2 linked regions of the Alligator mississippiensis genome follow. Each later gene encodes a partner of the first gene's protein in a complex. Links are inferred from orthologs where the notes say so. Each region holds a gene or a part of one and is shown on either strand. Other genes may lie near its edges.

Region 1 (10,608 bases):
TGACCTGGTGGTCCTGGCCGGTGCCCAGGTGGGTCCTGTAGCACCATGTCAACCTGGGCATGGCACCGGGAGGCTGGGCAGGCCCCAGGTTAACCCTGGCCTGACCCCGCGGCTTCTCCAGCACCAGGTCAACCCGGTTGTAACCAAGTGGCTCCTGTATCACCATGTCAACCCGGGCATGCATGCCATGACAACCCCTGCAACTTCATTGGTGTCAAAGGTCACATGACATCTCTTCCTGATGTGATACCGCTTCCTGTGAGGTCTTTGAATGTAGCTCGCTGGCCCACTGGATGATAAAAAGTTCATGATCCAGCCCCACATTCAAAAAGGTTGGACACCCCTGCCCTAGTAGATCATTTGGATTAAAACACAATCTACTGAATATTGCATGACATTTAGGCAGTCATCTTCCCCTTTAAAAAAATAAAGTACTTTAGAAAGTGAAGCCAGTTCTCAGCTACATTTCACAACTTCTTCCTTTTCACTGAGAACATATTTGTCAGCATTGTAGGCAAGGCTTGAAATTTGGTTGTTTTTCTGTAATTAGTCTAATGTCAAAGGATTATTCAAACTCTGGGTTATTGTTTCCAAGATACACAGTCAACTGATCTTATTTCAAATATACATTTTTTAGACAGATATAATACAAGTACATCCAATTATACCAACGTTCCTAAAATTATGCCTGCACTACAAGGAATAATACATACACAGTTGCATTGTCTGCCCTTGCAAAAATTTAGGCTAACTGCAAGACCATATTTGACAGAATTACACGTATGAGTATATTCAAAAGACTTTTTTATACCCAAGAATGTGCCAATACATCCTAAGATTTTTTTAAAACTTCCCAGAGCCTATTCCCAAGCCTGCTGCTGGAAACGCAGCTGAAAAATAAGAGCTTTAAGGTCATCTAATCTAATTCCTCAACAATACAGAACTGTTCCCTGCATTAAGTTTTAGTCTGCTTTTTGTCCAGTTCCTTACCTTTTCTAGAAAATAATTGTGTGTGTTGAATTGTTCATTTTTATTTCATTTATAAAAAGCTTCACTCTCTTCCGGTGAGGTCCTTTAAAGTCCTTTGCCTGCTTCTTTCATAATTCTAGCCTAGGGCAGCATTCATCTAATCTTCACAACCTACAACCAAGTATGTAGATGACTTTGATTTTTACCATAATTTTTTCCTTTCCATAATGTTCCATCTATTTTTGGGAGGCTAAGAACAAAGAATCAGACTGTGTGTGTGTAGGGCGGCTATAACATATATATGTTCTATCAGTAATCTCCTTTATTTATGTTCTGACTTTTACGTTCAAGGAAAATGTTACAAGGAAGACTAAGAGATATCTTTGCCCATTCATATAGAGCTGTTACACAAATTAAAGATATGCTATAAATCTGAAATCTGGTCAAACTGAATGAAAAGATAGTTAAGAAACCTTACAAGAGATAACTCTCTCATGCTAGTCCACCATGAAAAATCTGAACACAGGATACAAGGCTGAAACACTGGATCACTATCACTGAAGTGGGGGAATGCTGCTTAAAAGTGTTTGTTTTCACTTGAATTTTGACCAATTTAACAGATGAACTGCTATTAGTTTTAGATTCCTTAAAGACTATTTCAAACCAAACTAAAGCCACAATCTGCTCACAGGGAGACACCCCTTCGACCTGTCAATGGCTGGAAACAGACATCCTCTTTGGAGCACAGCTAATCCACTTCAGAGACATCTAACAGACACTGTCAGACCTGTCGCTGTCCACAGTCCATATCCTGCCACTCCCAGGGCTTCAAGGACCCAATCCTGGAAGAAACGAGCACTGAGTTCGGGTATGCATTTACAAGGGGGGAAGCCCCAACTTGTAAATTCGCCCCCATGTTGGGATGCAGGGGAGCCCTTCAGGAGGGGATTCCCCCAGCTTGTGTCTGCAAAGCATGGGGGGGAGAATTTCCCTGGTGTTCCCTCTTCTGGTTGCAGGGAGCACCCCAACCCAGGGGCACCAACAAAAAAAGGTACCAGGCACCAAGGCCATGTGCAAGAAGAGGGCAGAACTCCTAGAAATTCCCCTCTCCACATCTGCAGAGCTAGGGGCATAATACCCCCACTATAATGTGCAGGTAGGAGAAGCCCTTCACACTTGCACACATGCATCAGAGGTTATTCTGCCAGCCCACAGTCTCCTGCCATAAGTAAACAGATGTCACGCAAAAAGGCAGCACAAATTGTTAGTACCCTTGTTGGTGCCACAAAATTTAAGCACTTTTGGCCCAACAAAGGGCTATGATGTCTGTTCACTCAGTTCTCGTACCTCCATAAAGAATTTTATGGCGGCACATAGGCTGCAAACAGACACTGACTATCAGTCTCCAGATAGGAGCACAGGCATGCCTCAGCAGAGTGCAGGACTGACATCTAAAACAGAAGCCACATAAAAGAGCCATGTTTCTTCATCCCTACCTTATAGTTAGCATTTGATATCACCTTTGTTCTGTTTCCAGCTCTCCTCTATAGCTAGAATTTCAGAATACTTATTTATACGATGAGGTACTTTCTGTCACATCTAATACCACAAACTACCCGTCACTGCACAGAGTTTCTTTACCTAAAACGAACACCCTTTCTGTTGCTAATACAGAATTCTACATCCATCTTTCTACTATACTGCCACAACGCCAGATTCATTCTCCCTCATTGCAAGCATTTTCATTAACAAAGAAGAAAGCAATTTAAAGGGGGAAAAAAACCCTTCAGGGAGTAAAAAAAACACATCTTGGATGAGGTCACAGACACAACAGGCTTTCCTAGGGTTTCTCCTTGCTTGCTCCCTAGATCCTTTACACAAAGGTCCTCAGTTTCTGAATGGGGTCAGTCCTCTGCAAGTCTTAGCCTCATCCTAATCTCACCACGTCCTCATGCTGGCGTCAGGCTGTTACGGAGAACTGAATAACGCGGTTATCCTGGGCAAGTGCACGGGAAACAGACTCCAGCTTCCTCAGAGTTTAAGAGCCCAAGGAGCCTCATGCAACCAGCACAACCCACATGCCCAGCTGGTGAATCCCAAACACCCTGGCTCCTGCGGGGCAAGAAGGGGGGGGGGGGGGCAGCCACACCCACACAAACGGGGAGGGGCATGGGGGACACACGCCCATGCACACACACAGGGAGGGGTGTGGGGGACACGTGCACACATGCACGCACACACAGGTGTAGGGGACACGTGCGCACACGCAGAGGGGCATAGGGGACACGTGTATGCATACAGAGGAGACACACACCCATGCACACATACAGGAAGGGGCATAGGGGACACGCGTGCACACGCACGCACACACATGGAGACATAGGGGACACGTGCACACACAAACACAGAGGGGGTGTAGGGGACGTGCACACATGGGGAGGGGCGTAAGGGACACACCGCACACAAGGGGAGGCATGGGGACAGAGGGGCAGCTTCGGATGTACACACAGATATACACAGAGACGGGGAGCAGTTTAACCCACGGACACAGGGAGCAGCTTAAGACAGGCAGGGAGCAATGCAGGACATGGACACATACCACAACCTGGAGAGCGACACCCGTGCCCGCTGCTTCGCCAGGGTCGAGCCCTGCCCCTGCCCCGCCCGCACTCGTCCTCCGCCCCGCGCGCTTCCTCCGCGGCTGTCCGCGCCCCGCGCCCCGCGCTTCCGGCCCGCCCGCGGCTGCGTGCGTGCCTGCGTGCAGGGCGGGGCCGAAGCAGGCGCCGGGGTAAAGCCCGGGCCGTACTCACATGCGTCCACCTCCTCCTGCGCGTCCTCCTGCAGCAGCGACACATCTGCGGGGAGACGCGCACAATGTAGTGCCCGCCCGCGCTGCCCCCGTCCTCCCTCAGCCCCGCCCCACCCCGCCCGGCCTGGCCCGGCCCCCCAGGGCTCCCGGCTCTCCGAGGGGGGAGGGGGCCGGCACCTACCCGCCATCTTGCTGCGGCCCCCGCGGGACTCCGGCTGCCTCTCAGCAGCCGCGGCGGCGGCAGGGGGGGAGGGGCGGCCTTGCGAGCCTGCGGCTCTGTCTCCAGCTCCGGGCCCGGGCGGCGCCGGCGGGTGTCCCCGAGGGAGCCCCGAGCTCAGCCAGCTGCGGGGAGGGAGGGAAGGAGCGAGGGGGCTGGGCCGGACACGCTGCCCCCGCCTCCGCCTGGGAGCGGCGCACGGCGCTGCCGGCCCTCCCCGCCCCCGCCGGAGCCGCCTCCACCCCACCTCGCGGCGCCAACCGCCTCCCCGGCACCAACGTTCCCCCGCCCCCGGCGCCGTGTCGGCCCCGCTCGCCTCAGCCCGGCCCCCCGCGCCTGGTACTGCGCCCCTCTGCCGGCACTGGCCCTCCCTGCGCCCCGCGTTGGCACGGGGCTGGCTCCCACCCCCCTCCATCCCAGTGCCTCCCTGCCTCTCCCGCGGTGATGAGCAGGGATCCTGGTTTTCTCTCGTTTAAAAAAATTCCCACATTTTCTGATTAAAAAAAACAACTAAATTCTCCTTTTTCCCTTATTAAAATTAAACACAGGCACACACACATATATAATATGTATGTATTAAATATCACATTATATTATACATATACACACACACACACACACAGAGTACATACTTCCCGCCTGCCTGTGGCGCCACGGGACTGATTGCATGGGATCGTAGTATCTACTGTGTGTGTGTGTGTGCGTGTATAGTGGTTCACTTTTTCATCTAATGTGATACATAAAATATGTACATACATAAAATGTTATGTATCACATTTTTCCGTGATTAAAATGAAACACCACTAATATGCACACATATTAGTGGTGTTTCATTTTAATCACAGAAAAATGTGATAATATGATTGTCGCAGGGCACCTCGGTGCCCCTGCTCCTAGAGTGGAGAAACTGCCAGGGAGCAAGTGAGCGCGCCCTGGCCTGACATAACGAGCCCAGCTGAGGCTGCTCAGGTAATGAGCGCAGCTGCAGGTTGCCGGAGCAACCAAGCGGAGCCAGCTGCCTGTAGGGGGCAGGGCCTGGCCCTTATAAAGCTCAGGGCTGAGGCCAGGCTGGCAGTTCTCTGCCAGCAGCCAGGGAGGCAGGAGCTCCCTCAGCCGAGATATGGGAAGGAGCCTAAGTCGCAAGTACAGCTCATGATAGCCCTGGAGGTTTGAGCTATGATGAGGAGTTATGGCCATGCGGCTTGCATTTGTGTTACAGCCTAGGGGCTTGTGGTTTTGCTTTGTGTTTGTGTTATTACACCCGGAGGCTTGGGTGAGGCTGTAGGGGTTGGAGGAGGCCTCAACTATAGGGACCCCAGAGAGTGTGGGGTGCCCTAGCGCCAAGAGGGCGCATTATCTACACAGCGCCAGGGAAGGCGCAGCTCGCACGCCAGTATATGAGCAACTGGCGGCGAGGAGCGCGGCCAGTAGGTCGCGGGCGCGACCTGTAGGTTGCAGACGGGGACCTAGACCCCGGATTGCGTGTGGGGGAACATAGCCCCCTGTATAGCGCCAGGGAAGGCGCAGCTTGCACGCCACTGCACGAGCAGCTGGTGGCGAGGAGCGCGGCCAGTGGGTTGTGGGCGCAACCCGTAGGTTGCGGACGGGGACCAAGACCCTGGATTGCGTGTGGGGGAGCATAGCCCCCGGCCCCAGGAAAGGGGCGGTATTACTGAGGAGCCCAGTGTGGGCGTGGCGAGCCCCCAGAGAGGGGGAATGCCCTTGTACATTATTGAGTAGCCCAGTGCGGGCGTGGCGAGCCCCGGAGAGGGGGAACGCCATTGGGTTTTATTGAGTAGCCCAGTGTGGGCGCACGGGTATAGCGAGCCCGACCGCAGGCTAGTGCGGCAATACCCCTCAGACCAAGGCAGTGTGCTGCGGTTGCCCCTGAGAGGACAGGGAGTAGCAGCGCAGGGAGCCAGAGTCAGGGAGGGTGTCCGTGCAGTTGGCCCATAGGACCGGAGGCCCGCTAGAAAGTCCTGAAGCGGAACCACACTGGCAGGGGAGGCCCAGAGTGGGGAGGCCCAGAGTGGGCTAGACGGGAGTCCCAGCAAGAGGCTGGGCATGAGACAGGGAGCCCAGAGTGGGCCACATTAGAGAGGAGGCCTGGGAAGCGGGCATATAGACCGAACAACGTCCTTTACGTCTGCGAGGCTTGGGGCGTGGTATCAGGGGAGGTAGGAGCCACGCATAGCCCATAAGGCTAGGGCACTTGGGTAGCGCCCATTGTACGGGGAGACCCACGAGGGGTCCAGGAGCTGACAGGCCCGAGGTAACACAAGGCAGCCTCCCTATTACATATATTCCATCAAGACGTGGTGGGCGAGAATGGAGGGTGCCCTCGGGCTGGAGTAGCGCAGTGAGAGGGCCTCACAGAGATCACGGCCCTCCGTGAGGACCCGAGGGAGAGGGAGAGAGGGAGGGTTTTTTGTTTTAATCACAGAAAAATGTGGATTGGGGGGGGGGGGGGGGGTTGAGTCAGAAAATTTGGGATTTTTTTTTTTACTGGAGAAAACCAGAATCCCTGGTGATGAGGCTGAAGCTGGTTGGTTCTAGGGAACCAACTTCCCATCTCATCCCAAGACACAGGGTTTGGGGAGGTGGTGACCAGGGGGACTCACTAGGCTGGGGAAGCAGCGCTGTGCATTTGCAGTGCACTTGCGCCATGCTCCCGGGTGGATCCCGCCATTGTGATGTCACTCCCCAAGGAGCCAGCTCCTGGAGGTGATGGTTCCAAGGCTGGTGTCACTGTGCCATAGGGTGGGGTGGTCAGCTGATTTTTTTTTTTTTTTTTTTTTTTTTTTTTTCCCCTCTCCCCATAATCTAGAGCTTCTGGTGCCAATTTAAAAGCCACCTTGAAATGTCTTCAGTGCTGTTCCACTTTAGAGCAATTTGGGCTTGTGGGATTGCGGAAGCCCGGTGTCTAAACTGGTGGCTCTCAACCTTTTATAGTTTTGACGTGCCCCTCAGAAAATGCCAGCTCTTAGTTTTCACTCATTTTTTTGACTGCAGAAAAACAATAAAGCTATTTTTCTGTTGCAAAGAACTCAGAAAGCCCATAGCAGGTTGGAACGGGTTTAACACTGTGGATTCCTATTTGAAATCTCTGGGTTTATCTTGTGAATTGTGTTTGTGCAATTAACAGAAGTAATAACATTGTGTAGCACGCTTGAAAGGATATCAAGGCATGCCATTGTACCCTGACTGAGAATCACCGGTATAACGTCTAAACAACTTTTAATTCAAAAGGTTAAGAAGAGATTGGTTACCAAGCATGTCATGCCTGAGGCTTATTTCTGAACCTTTTTCCAACCCATTACAAAAGTATAATAAGGTATACCAAAACACTATGCATCCATTACCTTTTTATAATTCTTATAAAATTAATTTGCGTATTTTAATTTAAGCTTCTATAATTTGGAATTGCACTAAGAGCATTTGCTTTCGAAATTGGGCATTAGTAGTGTTTATTTTTTAATCATGGCATTTTTATGTCACTTTGGGGGGAAGTAGTCTACAGGGTATTTAGGAAATTTAATTTTTCTATAATGTATGTTTAAATAGGGGAGCTGCTATTTATGCAAGGAAACAATGTAGAATGACTGTTTTGAGAGATTTGTAATATGTTGTCCTGATTTTGGTACTCCTGTTAAGAGTACTGTTTCTGTTGCTATGTTCTGGATATACAATACAATGGGATGTTTTTACATTGCAAAGTTAATTACATTTTCAGTTTTTTTGCAACAAGTTACTTCAATAGGTATATGGCTCCTCATGTGCAACCAGCAGTAGATGTATTATTTATAGCCACTGTGACAAATTTATGCAACTAAGAGGGCAGGTAAGTGGGATATGATGTTGGTCTACATACCTTTTGCCTATTGGAAGTCCATGGGGTTTGCTGCATTTGACCTTTCATATAGCTGGAAGATCAAGGGCCCTCTTGAGCTTGTCCGTGACTCCTGAGAGGGTAGCATGGAGACAGGGGGAACAAACCACCAAGTTTGTCCAAAGGTTCTGAATGATTTAAGAGCTATGATGGATTTGATGCATCAGAATCTGACTGGAACCAAAGAGAATCGAAGTTTAGAGGGGGCCTTGGTTCCATATTATCACCAGGGAAGTGCCACAAAATACAGAATTAATGGGAGGCAACCATTTGAAATTGTAAAAAAGCAGAATGATGTGACCTAGCGTGGAGAAGCCTTGGAGGGTGTTCCCAAAATTGCAGCAATTCATTTTGGGGGCACTGTTTTCTCACATAATTCCCCCCAAATTGGATCAGTGTAGATTTGGGTACCCCATGATAGCCTGTCACAACAGTGTCCACTTCTGTAAATGAAAATACTGTATAACCAAAAATCTTGCTTCAGTAACACATGGAAAAGAGAGGAGGAGAAAAACTCACTTTTATCTGGAAATGTGCCACCATATGCTGCCAGCTTCTGCTTCCTGAATATGGATGTCCAGATGGCCCTATTTCTAAACTTTCTGGCTGCGATGAATGGGATGTCAGTCTAGATCTTCAGTCTTTCAAGGCCTGATCCACAGTCCACTTAAATATCTGATAACACTCCCACTGATCTCAATGGGCTCTGGCTCCAAATAAGGAAAGGAACAGAAAACTTAATGTGTATGACACATAAAATGGGTCTTGAGATATGTGATGAATTGCCAGTTTCAAAGATATTATTACTACAGAATGCCCTCCAGGGGGTGATTGCTTGGGACCACCTGGATTTTGTGTGGTCTCAGAGTGTATCCCAAAACCAGACCAGGTGTGGCCTCTAAAGCATGGGGGGAGCCCTGTCTCTCTCCCATTCTGAGACACTCCTGCTGACTTTTTGTTCCTTACCCTCCCATTTATGTCCATAACCCTGACTCAGAAACCTAGCTCCTGAGAGAGGGACTTTACCTCTTGTTGGGCAGACCAAATGCAACCCAAAGTTTATTTCCCTGTTTCCCCTAGACATCTGTAATCCTCACCTTTGTTAAAATGTCAGCAAAGCTATTTGAGTCTCTGTAGATGGATGCAATGGATGTGTCTTCTTTCATGTAGACCAAAAACTCCAGCTTCACTGTCTCTATAACCCATTTCCCCCACCTCCCCCCACCCTTCTCCCCTATGTTAGCTACAGGGAAACAGAGGCATGCAACACTGTTACAATACGAATACAGTTAACACAGAAATATTACAATGAACACCATAGTCCATCACAATTGCCATTTAAAAAAAAGTTATCAAGACTTTGAAATCAAAATGATATTAAAAAAAAAAAAAAAGCAAGAGACATTTCCTAATATTAGATTAAAAGATTTCAAAGAGATGTTAAGTGCTCAACAACAAATCATTTAACCAGTGGTGTAGTGGGACCACATATGCCTGGGGCTGCCAGGACACATGGGACTAATGAAAACATTCAAATAGATTTTATACTAGAATTGGAATGATCTTTCTTTCTCTACTCCCAAATGCCAGAAATGCAAAACCATAAAAATAACTAACTTGGGGCTTGGTTTCATTAGAAAGTACATAAATCTATGGAAGACTACGTTATTATGTTGAAAAGGCAGGGGTATAAATTAGAAGACAAAAATGGAGAGCACTTGACATGGTGTTTCATACATGAGGAAAATGGGAGTATGGTATCTAGGGGTATAGGTTGTAGCCGTGTTGACACGGCCATCCCTGGGAGGGGCGAATTGGGGCCACTGCTACAGACCCCATGCTTTGGGGGGGCCCTGCAGTCAGTACAGTAGAGGTCCTGCTGCGGCCACCACTGCCAAGTGCTGCTGGCTCCGGCTGCTCGCCACCCCCCCCCTCCCAGGCCCCGCACAGGCTGATATGCCCCATGGGGGCCCTGCATACCCCTAGGGATGGCTCTGCCTGTTGGTCTCAGTTCTAATCCTCTCAGTCATTGGCAATGCATAGTATATACATACATGTATATATACATGCAGGGGCATGTGTACCCCCTGAGATTGGTGGTGCACCCCCTGCAAAAAGCGCTGCCAGCAGCGCCTGCTGGCAGTTGCTGCTCACCACCCCCCATCACCACCAACACTACCGGTGGCATCTGTGGGCAGTCCCCAATCACCGCTGGCCAATGCCAATACTGCTGGTGGCATCTGTGGGTGGTTGCCAACCACTGGTCAGCACTCACCCCCCCTGCCAACAGTGCCATGGCCACCTGTGGGAGCTCGCCACTCGCTGCTGCCATCCTCCTGCCGCTGACAGCACCACTGCTGTCTGCAGGAGCTTGCCATGCCATGCCAGCCTCCAGGGCCTCGTGGCATTCATGCTGTCAGTGCTCTCATAGCTTTCAGTTCTAATCCTCAAAGGGAAATTACAAAACACCTTTCACAGACACACCTACGAACTTCACTTCATCAACCTACTGGATACAACAAATCATGGACTAAATAGAGACATTGGATTTATGACACATTATAACCTGCCTAATATCTGACTCCCCAGGTAACCTCTCTTCTCTTAATCAGCTGTATTCATTCCCTTTCCCATCCCCCTCACCTCTCTCTCACCCATTGACTACTTCAATTTGTATTTTTACTGACTGGCTTTCTTGCATACATACTGGCTTCTGACTTTTTT
Region 2 (9,848 bases), on another chromosome or scaffold:
ACGGAGCAGCAGCCCCGGGGGGGGTCTGACGGCCTTTCTACGCATGTGCCTACTCAGGGCGAGGGCTGCAGCGAAGCTAGTGGAGGCTAGAGGGCAGCAGAGAGTCCTAGAGCGCGGGCGGGCAAGGTTTTTTAGGTAAATCCGACACCTATTGTTAGACTCACTTTTTACGTATTTATTATTTATTTTGCAAGTACTTGAGTTGATCTAATAACAGATTTCGCCTTTACTCAAATAGCCTTGTCTGTCTATGTTCTTAGAGTAGAGCAACACAGCAACAACCTACACCTCGGGGGGGGGGGTGGTATTTAGTGCGCGCAGAAACAAGCAGGCCTGAGGGGAGGAGGGTTCTCTGCGCATGCGCTTAGTCAGCCGCAGGGCTGCAGAGAAGCCAGCGGACGCCAGAGGGCAGTAGAGACAGGCCCTGGCTTGGGGGGGAGGGGGGATTAGTACATCCGCACATACAGGCACCTCGGGCGGGGGAGGGGGGATTTCGCGCATGCCTTAAGTACTCAGCGTTAAGGTTTTTTGCACATGCACGACCTGAAGAAGACTTCCCGCGCATGCGTCTACTCAGCCCGAGGGCTGCAGTGATGCGAGTGAACGGCAGAGGGCAGCAGAAAGGGGTCCCAGATGGGGTGGGGGGGGGTCATTAGCACATGCGCAGATACGAAGTCCCGGGCAGGTGGGGGTGCGATTCGCGCATGGGTAGCGCTCACCTTAGCGAGTTTTTGCACATGCGCACAAGCCTGAGGCGGGAGCTGCGCGGGGGCCCGATGGAACGAACCTTCAACGCATGCGCGGACTAGCCTGAGAGGCGGGGTCGGGGAGTCTTCCTGCGCATGCACCTAACCAGCCCGAGGGCGGCAGAGGTGAGTGAACGCCAGGGGGCAGCAGAGGCCCCAGGAGTGTCCTGCGCGTGCGCAGCACCAGGTCTGGACGCCAGGGGGCAGCGGAGACACCGGGTGAGGCCCGGCCGCAGGATCCTCGGGGGCGGGGCGGAGAGCACCGACGCCTAGGTCCAAGAAGAGGCAGAGGTGGGGTTTCAACCTTTCTACAAATGTCGTTTTTTTATTCTTTTCATTTTTCCATTTTTATTTGGTTTTTAAGGAAGTTTTTCTTTTTGTATCTAAAACGAACAGGAAAAAAAACCAAAGAAATAAAAACAGGAACAATAACAAAAAAAGCTTCGTGGAGAAGCCAGGGGGGCAGGGCTGGGGGCCCCAGGGGAAGCAGCTACGGCCCCCACGAACCCCCAGAGCAGCAGGGCCTGAGTGCCCCTGGTCCTGGGGCCGCCAGCGGGACCCCTAACCCCGAGAGAAGCCCTTCCCCCCATACAGCCAGAGGGGGGCACCCCCAGGGAGATGGTGGGCAGGGGGGTTACAGGAAGTGGGGGGTCACAGGAAGTAGTCAGCCACAGGCTTCTTGGAGGGGATCCCCCTCGTCTCCTGGGGGGCAGCTTCAAAAATGATGAACTCCTTCTGCAGGTGCTCGTCCAGCTCCAAGATGGCAGCCACATTCCCGCACCTGTGGGGGGGGGGGGGGGGGTCACAGGTCACATGCTGGTGCCCCTTGCTCCCAACCCGCAGCCCCCTGGCGGTGCCCCTGCCCCACCTGTAGCAGTAGTTGGGGGCCGACCAGACTGTGAGCACAGTCTCATTGAAATGCCACTTGTAACCCTCCATGACGAGCTGGTGTGCTCGGCAGATCATGTCGATGTCGTTGGATGCGTTGAACTGGGCCACCACATCACTGCCAAACAGGTAGCCGGCCCCCCGCGGGCTCACGCCCCAGCCCGTCGTGTCTGCAAGGCAGGGACAAGGCCCGTTATGTGTGGCCACTAGCACCACCCACCCCAGAGCCAGCTGCATGGCAGGGTGCTGTTACAGCCAGCTGCCAGCACCACCCACCTGCAAGCTGCTCGCATCACTGGGCTGACCAAGCCCTCTTGGGCAGCATCACAGCCTGCTGTTCCCATCTGCCCCACCCCAGAGCTGGCTGCATTGCTGCCCCCTCCATTGTACCTTCAGGGTCAGACCAGAGCAGGTCACACATGGGGCCGTCGTGGGGCACCTCCTGCTTGCGGTCGATTGTGCGGATCTGGTCCAGCGTCTGGATCGAGGGCGACAGTCCCCCATGCACGCAGAAGATCTGAGAGGGCAGGGAAGAGGGGGCATGGGTCAGGCAGGGGAATCCCAGACCAGAGGCTAAACCATTGCCCGCTGGAAAACCCAAGTGTCCAGGCTCCCACTGTTCAGCCCCCTGCTCTTCCCCCACAGGGAACCCAGGTCTCTGGGAGCGGGGTGGGGCACCTTGCCGTCGATGATGGCTGAGAGGCTGAGGTAGTCGAAGATCTCGGTGCAGTAGCGCCACACAGTGACGGAGCCGTACTTGCGCAGACACTCATCATAGAAGCCATAGACCTGCGTGATCTGCCGGCTCTCATGGTTGCCGCGGATCAGCGTGATCCGGTCTGGGTACCGCACCTGTGGAGGCCATGGGGGGGGGGGTTTACACTTGGCCACCAGCACATCCCACCCCAGAGCTGGCTGCTTTCTGCAGCCTGTTACACTCGGCTACCAACGTGCCCCACCCAGAGCCATCTGCAGTGCTCAGGCCTGCAGGCAGCTGGTTCTAGGGTGGGACGCATTGTAGTCAGCTGCCAGTATGTCCCACTCCAAAACCGGCTGACAGCAGATGAGTACAGGAGAGCTGAACAATGCAGCTGACTCTAGGGTAGAGCAAGTCAGCAGCTGAGTATAACAGGCCCAAGTGCTGTAGCTGGATCTGGGGTGGGATGCGTCAGGGGCCAAGTATAACATCCCACCCTACAGCCCGCAGCACTGTTCAGCCCTATTATACCCGGCTTCACCCACACCCCCACAAAACCAGCTGCACCGCCCAGGCCTCTTATACTTGGCCACTTAAACACCAGGCCCCAGAGGTAGCTGCAACGCTGGCCCCTGTGGTACCTGGCTGCTGCCACAGGATGCTTCAACCCCAGGCCCAGCCGCCTCAGTGCCTGTGACACCCTAGAGCCAGCTCCAGCCTGAGGGCACAAGTCTTCCTGTCCCCAGTGGGGCCCAGCCCAGAGCCGGCTGCATCCGTCCCCCAAGCCTCCCCTGCCAGCTACCCCCTGCAGCCGCCCTGCCCCAGAGCATGCCAACCCCAGTTGTGTGCCCAGTGCCCTGGGGGGGCTGGGGGCATCTACCTTGAGCGCCAGCAGGAGCAGGAAGGTCTCGACGCTGTAGAAGCCGCGGTCCACAAAATCCCCCATGAAGAGGTAGTTGGTCTCGGGGACGTCGCCGCCCACCTGGGGGGCAGCAGGGGTAAGGGGGGGCCTGCAGTGGGGGGGGCAGGGTGGAGTTTGTGGGGGGCAGGACTCACCCGGAAGAGCTCTTTGAGGTCATAAAACTGTCCGTGGATGTCACCGCAGACCTGGGGGGGGCAAGGGGGGGGGGTGAGACAGGGCAGCCCTGATGCCCTCTGGCCTAGACCCTCCTGGCCCAGGGACCCCTGCCCAAGCCCCGCTCACCGTCACTGGGGAGTCCACCCGCTGCACGTTGCTCTCCTCCACCAGGATCTCCCTAGGCAGGGAGAGGCAGGGACACCAGTTATTCATGGCCTTTGCCCCCGTGTCCCCCAGAGCCAGCGCCCCGCGGGGCCCGTCCTGCCCCCGTGTCCCCCAGAGCCAGCGCCCCGCGGGGCCCGTCCTGCCCCCGTGTCCCCCACAGCCAGCGCCCCGCGGGGCCCGTCCTGCCCCCGTGTCCCCCACAGCCAGCGCCCCGCGGGGCCCGTCCTGCCCCCGTGTCCCCCACAGCCAGCGCCCCGCGGGGCCCGTCCTGCCCCCGTGTCCCCCACAGCCAGCGCCCCGCGGGGCCCGTCCTGCCCCCGTGTCCCCCACAGCCAGCGCCCCGCGGGGCCCGTCCTGCCCCCGTGTCCCCCACAGCCAGCGCCCCGCGGGGCCCGTCCTGCCCCCGTGTCCCCCACAGCCAGCGCCCCGCGGGGCCCGTCCTGCCGCCCCAGAGCTCTGTTCTATGCAGACAGCAGCCGGGCCCCCCAGAGCCAGCCGCACTGCGCGAGCTCTTGACCCGAGCCCCGGTGCGGGCTCCCCAGAGGCGGCTGCGATGCAGGATCCCCCTTACGCGGCGCCCCCAGCCCTGCCGCCCCGCTCACCGGGCCTTGGCGCACAGGGCCTTGACCTCGCTCTCCTTGATGAGCTCGCAGCGCCGCAGCTGCTCGATCTGCCGGTCCAGGTCGCTCAGCTCCGCCATGGCTGGGGGGCAACGCGGGGTCGGGGTGAGCGCGGCCCGGGCCCCCGCGCAGGGCCCCACAAGCACCCCCGGCCCCGCACGCTACCCAGGAGCTGCCCCCAGGCCACGCTGGCCCAAGCTGCCCCCGGAACCGGCCCCCACAGCCTGACCCGCCCCGGGGGCCCCGGAACTGCACCCCCCCCGGCCCGGATCCTTGCCGCTGCGACGCCAGCATATGCACCACCCCCCCCCCCCGCACCTGGTCCCGGCGGCGGCCCCGCGTCGCACCGGTTCCCACCGCTCGTGGCCCCGCCCCCGCCGGCGCGACGTCACGTCCGGACACCCCCCTTCCTCCACAACCGGAAGGAGGAAGGCCTGAGAGACGGGCGGGAAGTGACGCATTTGGGACGTCTAAGGGAAGAAAGAAAAGGTGAGGGACAGGAAGCGACGTCACGGTGAGGGCGGAAGTAACGGTAAAAGCGTATGCTACGCAAACAGCCAGAATGAAGTGTAGGGCCGGGCGGAACTGACGTGTAGAGCCGAAATGCCACGGGAAATGAGGGGGCGCATGATGAATGACATCAGAGCCAGGGCGGAAGTGCTACCCAGGCACCCGTCACGGGGCGGAAGTGGCGGGGAAGGGGAGCGAGGGATGGGCGAAGGTGATGTCACCCGAGCGTGGATTCCTGTGCCCTAGGCCGAGCATGTGACGTCAGCAAGCAGGGGCCTGTGCCAGGACAGGCTACTCGGGCAGGGACATGCATTCCCTCTGCTGCGGTCACGTGTGGGGGACACAGGCCAGAACCCTGCCCCCCCCCCACCCTGGCTCCTTTCCCCTCCTGGGGGCCAGAGGGGCCCACGGCCTAGACCCCCGAAACCCGCACCCCCGAGGCCCAGGAGCACAGGACACATATCTTCATGAATTCATTTTATTCAGTAACTCAGTGTAGTTAGGGCCTCGCCCGCCCCCACCCGGAGACCGGGCAGCTGGAGGGGGGGCGGGAGCCGGAAGTGTTGCTCACCAGGGGGAGGGGGAGGGGGGGAGGGGCCGCCCGGAGGCCGGGGTTCTTGTGCCCGCTGGTCTCTGCCCCAGTCGGGTCCAGGTGAATATAGTTGCAGCCCAAGTTGGGAAGGGGATGGGGGAGGGGCGGGGGGCAGGCAGGGTGGAGCCGCAGCCTAGTAGGCATGGTTGGAAACGAAGAGAGACTCCTTGGAGGCAGCACCGGCCTGGCCGCTGCCGGCGTACTTGCCCTGGCAGGCGAGGCTGTTGGCCTGCAGAGAGACGGACAGACAAGACAGGTCAGAGCAGCACAAAAAACCCAGCGTCCAGGCTCCCCTCCCCCACCCCCTCTGCAAGTCAGAGGTCACTCTCCCCCCGCCGCGGGCCAGGTCAGTACGCACCAGAGCGCGCTTGACGTACTCCTCCTGGGCCGCCTTGGTGTTCTCCTTCTTGCCGCCCCAGGCCTTGAGGGCTGAAGCCTGCAGCGCCCGCCCGTAGGAGAAGGTCAGGGCCCAGGGCTTGTGCAGGGGGCACTTGTTGATGGCATTGAGGTTCAGAGACGCCTCCTCCTCGCTCTGCCCCCCGGACAGGAAGGTGATACCTGTGAAGGGGGAGGGAGTCAGTGCCGGCGTGACACAGTGCTCGCGGGGTTAACAGGCTGGGCTGGAGCAGGGGACCCTGGGCATAGGCACAGCACCCAGGGGGTTAATGGGCAAGGGGGTGGAGTCAAGGAGATGGTGGAGCCTCCCCTACCCTGGCTTGCATGCCCAGAGCATGGCTGTCAGGGGTGAGATAGGGAGCAGGGCCACAGGGGGTGAAGCCAGGGGCAGGCCCAGGTCTCACCGGGCACAGCAGGTGGCACGGTGCGGCGCAGCGCGGTGATGGTAGCCATGGCGATCTCCTCATGGCTGTACTTGGTGGTGCAGGCGTGCCCAGGTGTCACCATGTTGGGCTTCAGCAGTGACCCCTCCAGGTAGACATGGTGGTCACTCAGCGCCTTGTACACAGCCGCCAGCACCTGGGGGGGGGCAGGACTGGTCAGCACACCACCCACATCCACTGCTGCATCTTCCCTCCAGCTCCTCCAAGAGGCGGGGCTCCTTCTGGCCACACCCCCCAAAGATCTCCCACCTCCCAGCCTCTGGTAAGTGCCCCCTCACTGCAGTGACCCCTCTCACCTTCTCGGTGACGTGCTGGCAGCGCTTCAGGTCATGGTCGCCATCGGGGAGGATCTCGGGCTCCACGATGGGCACAATGCCGTTCTAGAAGGACATGGGGGGAGGTCGGGATGAGCCTGTTAGCCCTGACCCCAACCCCCAGCCCCACCTACAGCCCCTCTAGCCCCACCTGCTGGCAGATGCTGCCTGTGCCCTTCTGGCTCTGCCCTCAGTCTTAGCCCCACCCCCTGCTAGCTCCTGGGAGAGGAAGTAGCCCTGCCCCCAGCCCTGCCCCACGGCCACCTGCTGGCAGATGCTGGCGTAGCGGGCCAGCACATTGGCATTCTCCAGGATGGCGAGGCGTGAGGGCGTGTGGGGCCCGATCTTGAGCACGCAGCGCCACTTGGCGAAGTCGGCCCCATCCTTCTTGTACTGGGCACAGCGCTCAGAAAGCCCGTCCAGGCCTGGGGAGGGGGATGAGGCTCAGGACCCAGGCATTTGGGGAAAACCCCGCAGACATGCCTGTCCTGCCAGATGCAACCACTCCCAGCCCCGAGACCCTGGTGTCCAGGCACTCACCTTGGGTGGTGGTCTCCCCATCGGTCCCGGCCAGGGCCACCACGCCCTTGTCCACCTGCGGTGGGGGAGAGGGAACCTCATCAGTACTGCCCCGACCCCTGGCCTCCACTCCTCACTCCTGCACCCCAACTACCAGGTTCAAGGTAAAAGCCTCCTGAGACCTCCAACCCCGGCCCCCTCCCCCCCCCCCAATAGTCCCCATGACCACCTTGCCCACCCCCCCGGGGGCCTACCTTGATACCAACAACGCCGCCCTTGGCCTTGATGACCTGGGGGAAGGTGCGCCCATCGTCGGCCTTCTGGTAGAGGGTCTCGTGGAAGAGGATGACGCCGCCAATGCAGGGATCCACGCGCGCGTCGGCCGTGAAGAGCAGCTGCCGGTACCAGCGCCGGTTCTCCTCGGTGTTCTCTGCCCCGATGGAGCTCAGGCGCTTGGCGATGCTGCCTGCAGGGGGGCGGGTGGGGGTTAACACAGGGGGCCCTGCAGTGCCCCGTGCCTCCCACTCCCGCCCCGCAGCCCCCCCCCCCCGTGCCCCACACTCCCGCCCCGCAGCCCCCCCCCCGTGCCCTGCACTCCCGCCCCGCACCGGTGGACTCATCGGCGGCCAGGATGCCCTTGCCGGGCGCCACGATGCGGTGGGCGATGTCCGCCAGCTCCTTCTTCTGCTCGGGCGTCAGGGCCGGGTGCGGGTGCGGCATCTTGGCGGCTGCGGGAGCGCAGGGGTTACGCGCGGGACGTGCGGCGCGCGGCCTTCCGCATGGCCGCTTCCGGCCCCCCCTGGGCGGGACCCGGGCGTCGGGGGGGGGTCGTGGCCGCGGGTGGGGGCAAGTGTCCGGGGGGGTCGTGTGCCCGGGGCGCGGGCGGGACCGAGGGGGCCGGGGCGGGAGGGGGGGCGATGGCAGCCCCCGGGCCCGCGTGCCCGAGCTCCGCGCGGCGGTGCCGGGAGTCAAGGTCGCTCCAAGGGCGGGGGGGGCAGGGAGCCAGGCGCCCGGCCCAGCAGCGCCCCCCCGGCGCTTCCCCCCACCCCGACGCCCCCCCCCCGGCCCGAAGCCCCCCCGGCCCGACGCCCCCCCCAAGCCAACCTGCGGCAGCGGCGGCGGCGGGATCGACTGCGCTGCCGCGTGGGGCTGCGGCGGGCTAGGGGCTGGGGGCGGGGCGCCGCGCCGACGTCACGCGCGGGCGCGGCCGGGGGGCCACGCCCCTGCTGCCCCCGGGGCTGCCCTGGGGCTCCCCCACGCCGTGCCCCGCCCGCGCAGTGACGTCCCGGGGGCGGGGCCTGGGAGGCTCTGGGGTTGCGTCACTGCACCCCCCGGCCCGCCGCGCGTGGGTTTCGCGCTGACCTTTGCGGGGGAAACCCGATCCCCGCCAAGGGCGCCGCGGGGCCCGCGCTCGCGGCCTGCCCCCGCCGCCCCGGCCCCGTGCCCCCGCCGCCCCGCAACGCCCCCACCTACAGCCCCGCTATGGCGCCTGCCCCGCGGCCCCAGGCCGCCCCGGCGCTGCCCCACGTCCGCCCCAACCCCCCTGGACACCGCCCCAGCGCCCTGCAGACAGGGCCCTCCTGCCCGCCCCCCCGTGCCCGAGCACGAGCCCGAGCCCCGCCGTGGGCCGCCCCTCACCTGGCGGGCGGGCGGGCGGGGCAGGGTCTGGTGGCAGTGCCGGGCGGCCGGTGCGGGGGCTGCGGGCGACCCCCTTATATGAGGCCGGGCGGAGGGGGCGGGGCCGCCCGGGGGGGCTCTGACCTTCTCGGCGACCCCTGCCCTTTCACAGCTGCCGCTAAAAATAGCCCCGGGAGAAACTCGACGCCCCTGACATTCAGGGGGGCGGCTCGTGCACAGCCCGCGGCGGGCGGGCGGGCGGGCTGCGTGGGGCGGCCGGGGAAGCACGGCCTTCCCCACGGGCCGGGGCAGCCCGGGAGCGGGCGGCGCGCAGGCCCCCGCGGCACGGCAAGCCGGGCGCTGGTGGAGGACCCGGCGGCCGGTCGCACAGGCGGCGCTTCCCGGGACGGGCGACTGCTTCTCCGGCGGCGGGCGGCGCTGCTCCCCGTCACCCCCCGGCCGCGGTTGAGCCAGGCGCCGGCTTCCAAGTGCGGCCAAGCCGCGCGGGGGAGGTGGTAGCCGTGCTGGCTAAGGACGGGCAGACGAGGGTCTCTGCGTGAATCCCGTGTCTTTCCTTAGACCCACTTAAATAGCTGGAAGAACTTTAAAGCCAGCTTCCGGGCTTAAAAGCCCTTCCTCAGGCCGGCACACGTGCAGATCTTCCTCAGCCTGACCAAGAGTTGTTAAACCCGAAAGCTTGCTTACAAGTTTTTCCAACTATTTAAGTGGGTCTAATGAAAGATGTCAGATCCACGCAGAGAACCTGGTCTTCCAAGCTGTAATACTCTTATTAATATAAATATACGCGAGGAGGAAAGGGGCCGAGCAAGAGCAGCCCCCCAGCGCTGTGCAGCGGGGGTAGTTCAGCGCCCCTTGCTAGTCCTTTACCCGCTGCCCGTAATGTGTGCGCTCCCGGGGTGCCCGCGGGGTCCCAGCACCTCGGCATCGCCACAATGGCAAGTCTGCAAAGCGTTGAGTTTGCTGCCCCTACCCTATGACTTCATTGAACATTTCTCTTTTCCAACCTTGCCAGAGGATAGTCCAGGCGGACGCCCCCGAGCAACATATCCACCGGGCCCGGTTTCATGTCTCCTTTCCTCCCCCCCTCAGAACAGCGCAGCAAGCCTCCGACCAACGAAGGAGAGAACAAAGAAGAACCAGCGTACAGGTACTTTTTAGATTTTCTATAGCTATTTTGTATAGCTAAAGTTTTATAGATTGCTATAGATAGATAGCTTTAGTATGATTATTTATATATAATTC

What was found. The genes of interacting proteins can lie anywhere in the genome.
Region 2: PPP4R1 (region 1) and PPP4C share a complex: the UniProt entries of both Homo sapiens proteins name them as parts of the PP4 complex. The link is inferred for Alligator mississippiensis from reciprocal best matches to the Homo sapiens genes PPP4R1 and PPP4C.

Annotation. Positions count from the first base shown.
Region 1 is NC_081826.1:95,277,581-95,288,188, forward strand, and holds the start of PPP4R1 (serine/threonine-protein phosphatase 4 regulatory subunit 1), read right to left. Parts: upstream 4,190-10,608; 5' UTR 3,967-4,189; coding exon 3,960-3,966; intron 3,825-3,959; coding exon 3,780-3,824; intron 3,637-3,779; exon of another isoform or gene 3,569-3,636; intron 1-3,568. UniProt on the Homo sapiens protein: Regulatory subunit of serine/threonine-protein phosphatase 4. May play a role in regulation of cell division in renal glomeruli. The PPP4C-PPP4R1 PP4 complex may play a role in dephosphorylation and regulation of HDAC3.
Region 2 is NC_081830.1:229,064-238,911, forward strand, and holds PPP4C (serine/threonine-protein phosphatase 4 catalytic subunit), read right to left. Parts: upstream 4,624-9,848; 5' UTR 4,513-4,623; intron 4,277-4,512; 5' UTR 4,275-4,276; coding exon 4,177-4,274; intron 3,588-4,176; coding exon 3,536-3,587; intron 3,439-3,535; coding exon 3,388-3,438; intron 3,314-3,387; coding exon 3,212-3,313; intron 2,487-3,211; coding exon 2,313-2,486; intron 2,152-2,312; coding exon 2,025-2,151; intron 1,805-2,024; coding exon 1,615-1,804; intron 1,528-1,614; coding exon 1,398-1,527; 3' UTR 1,039-1,397; downstream 1-1,038. Other genes in the region: ALDOA (fructose-bisphosphate aldolase A), read right to left, coding at 5,430-5,525, 5,655-5,854, 6,097-6,271, 6,432-6,515, 6,714-6,874, 6,990-7,044, 7,223-7,434, 7,577-7,688. UniProt on the Homo sapiens protein: Protein phosphatase that is involved in many processes such as microtubule organization at centrosomes, maturation of spliceosomal snRNPs, apoptosis, DNA repair, tumor necrosis factor (TNF)-alpha signaling, activation of c-Jun N-terminal kinase MAPK8, regulation of histone acetylation, DNA damage checkpoint signaling, NF-kappa-B activation and cell migration.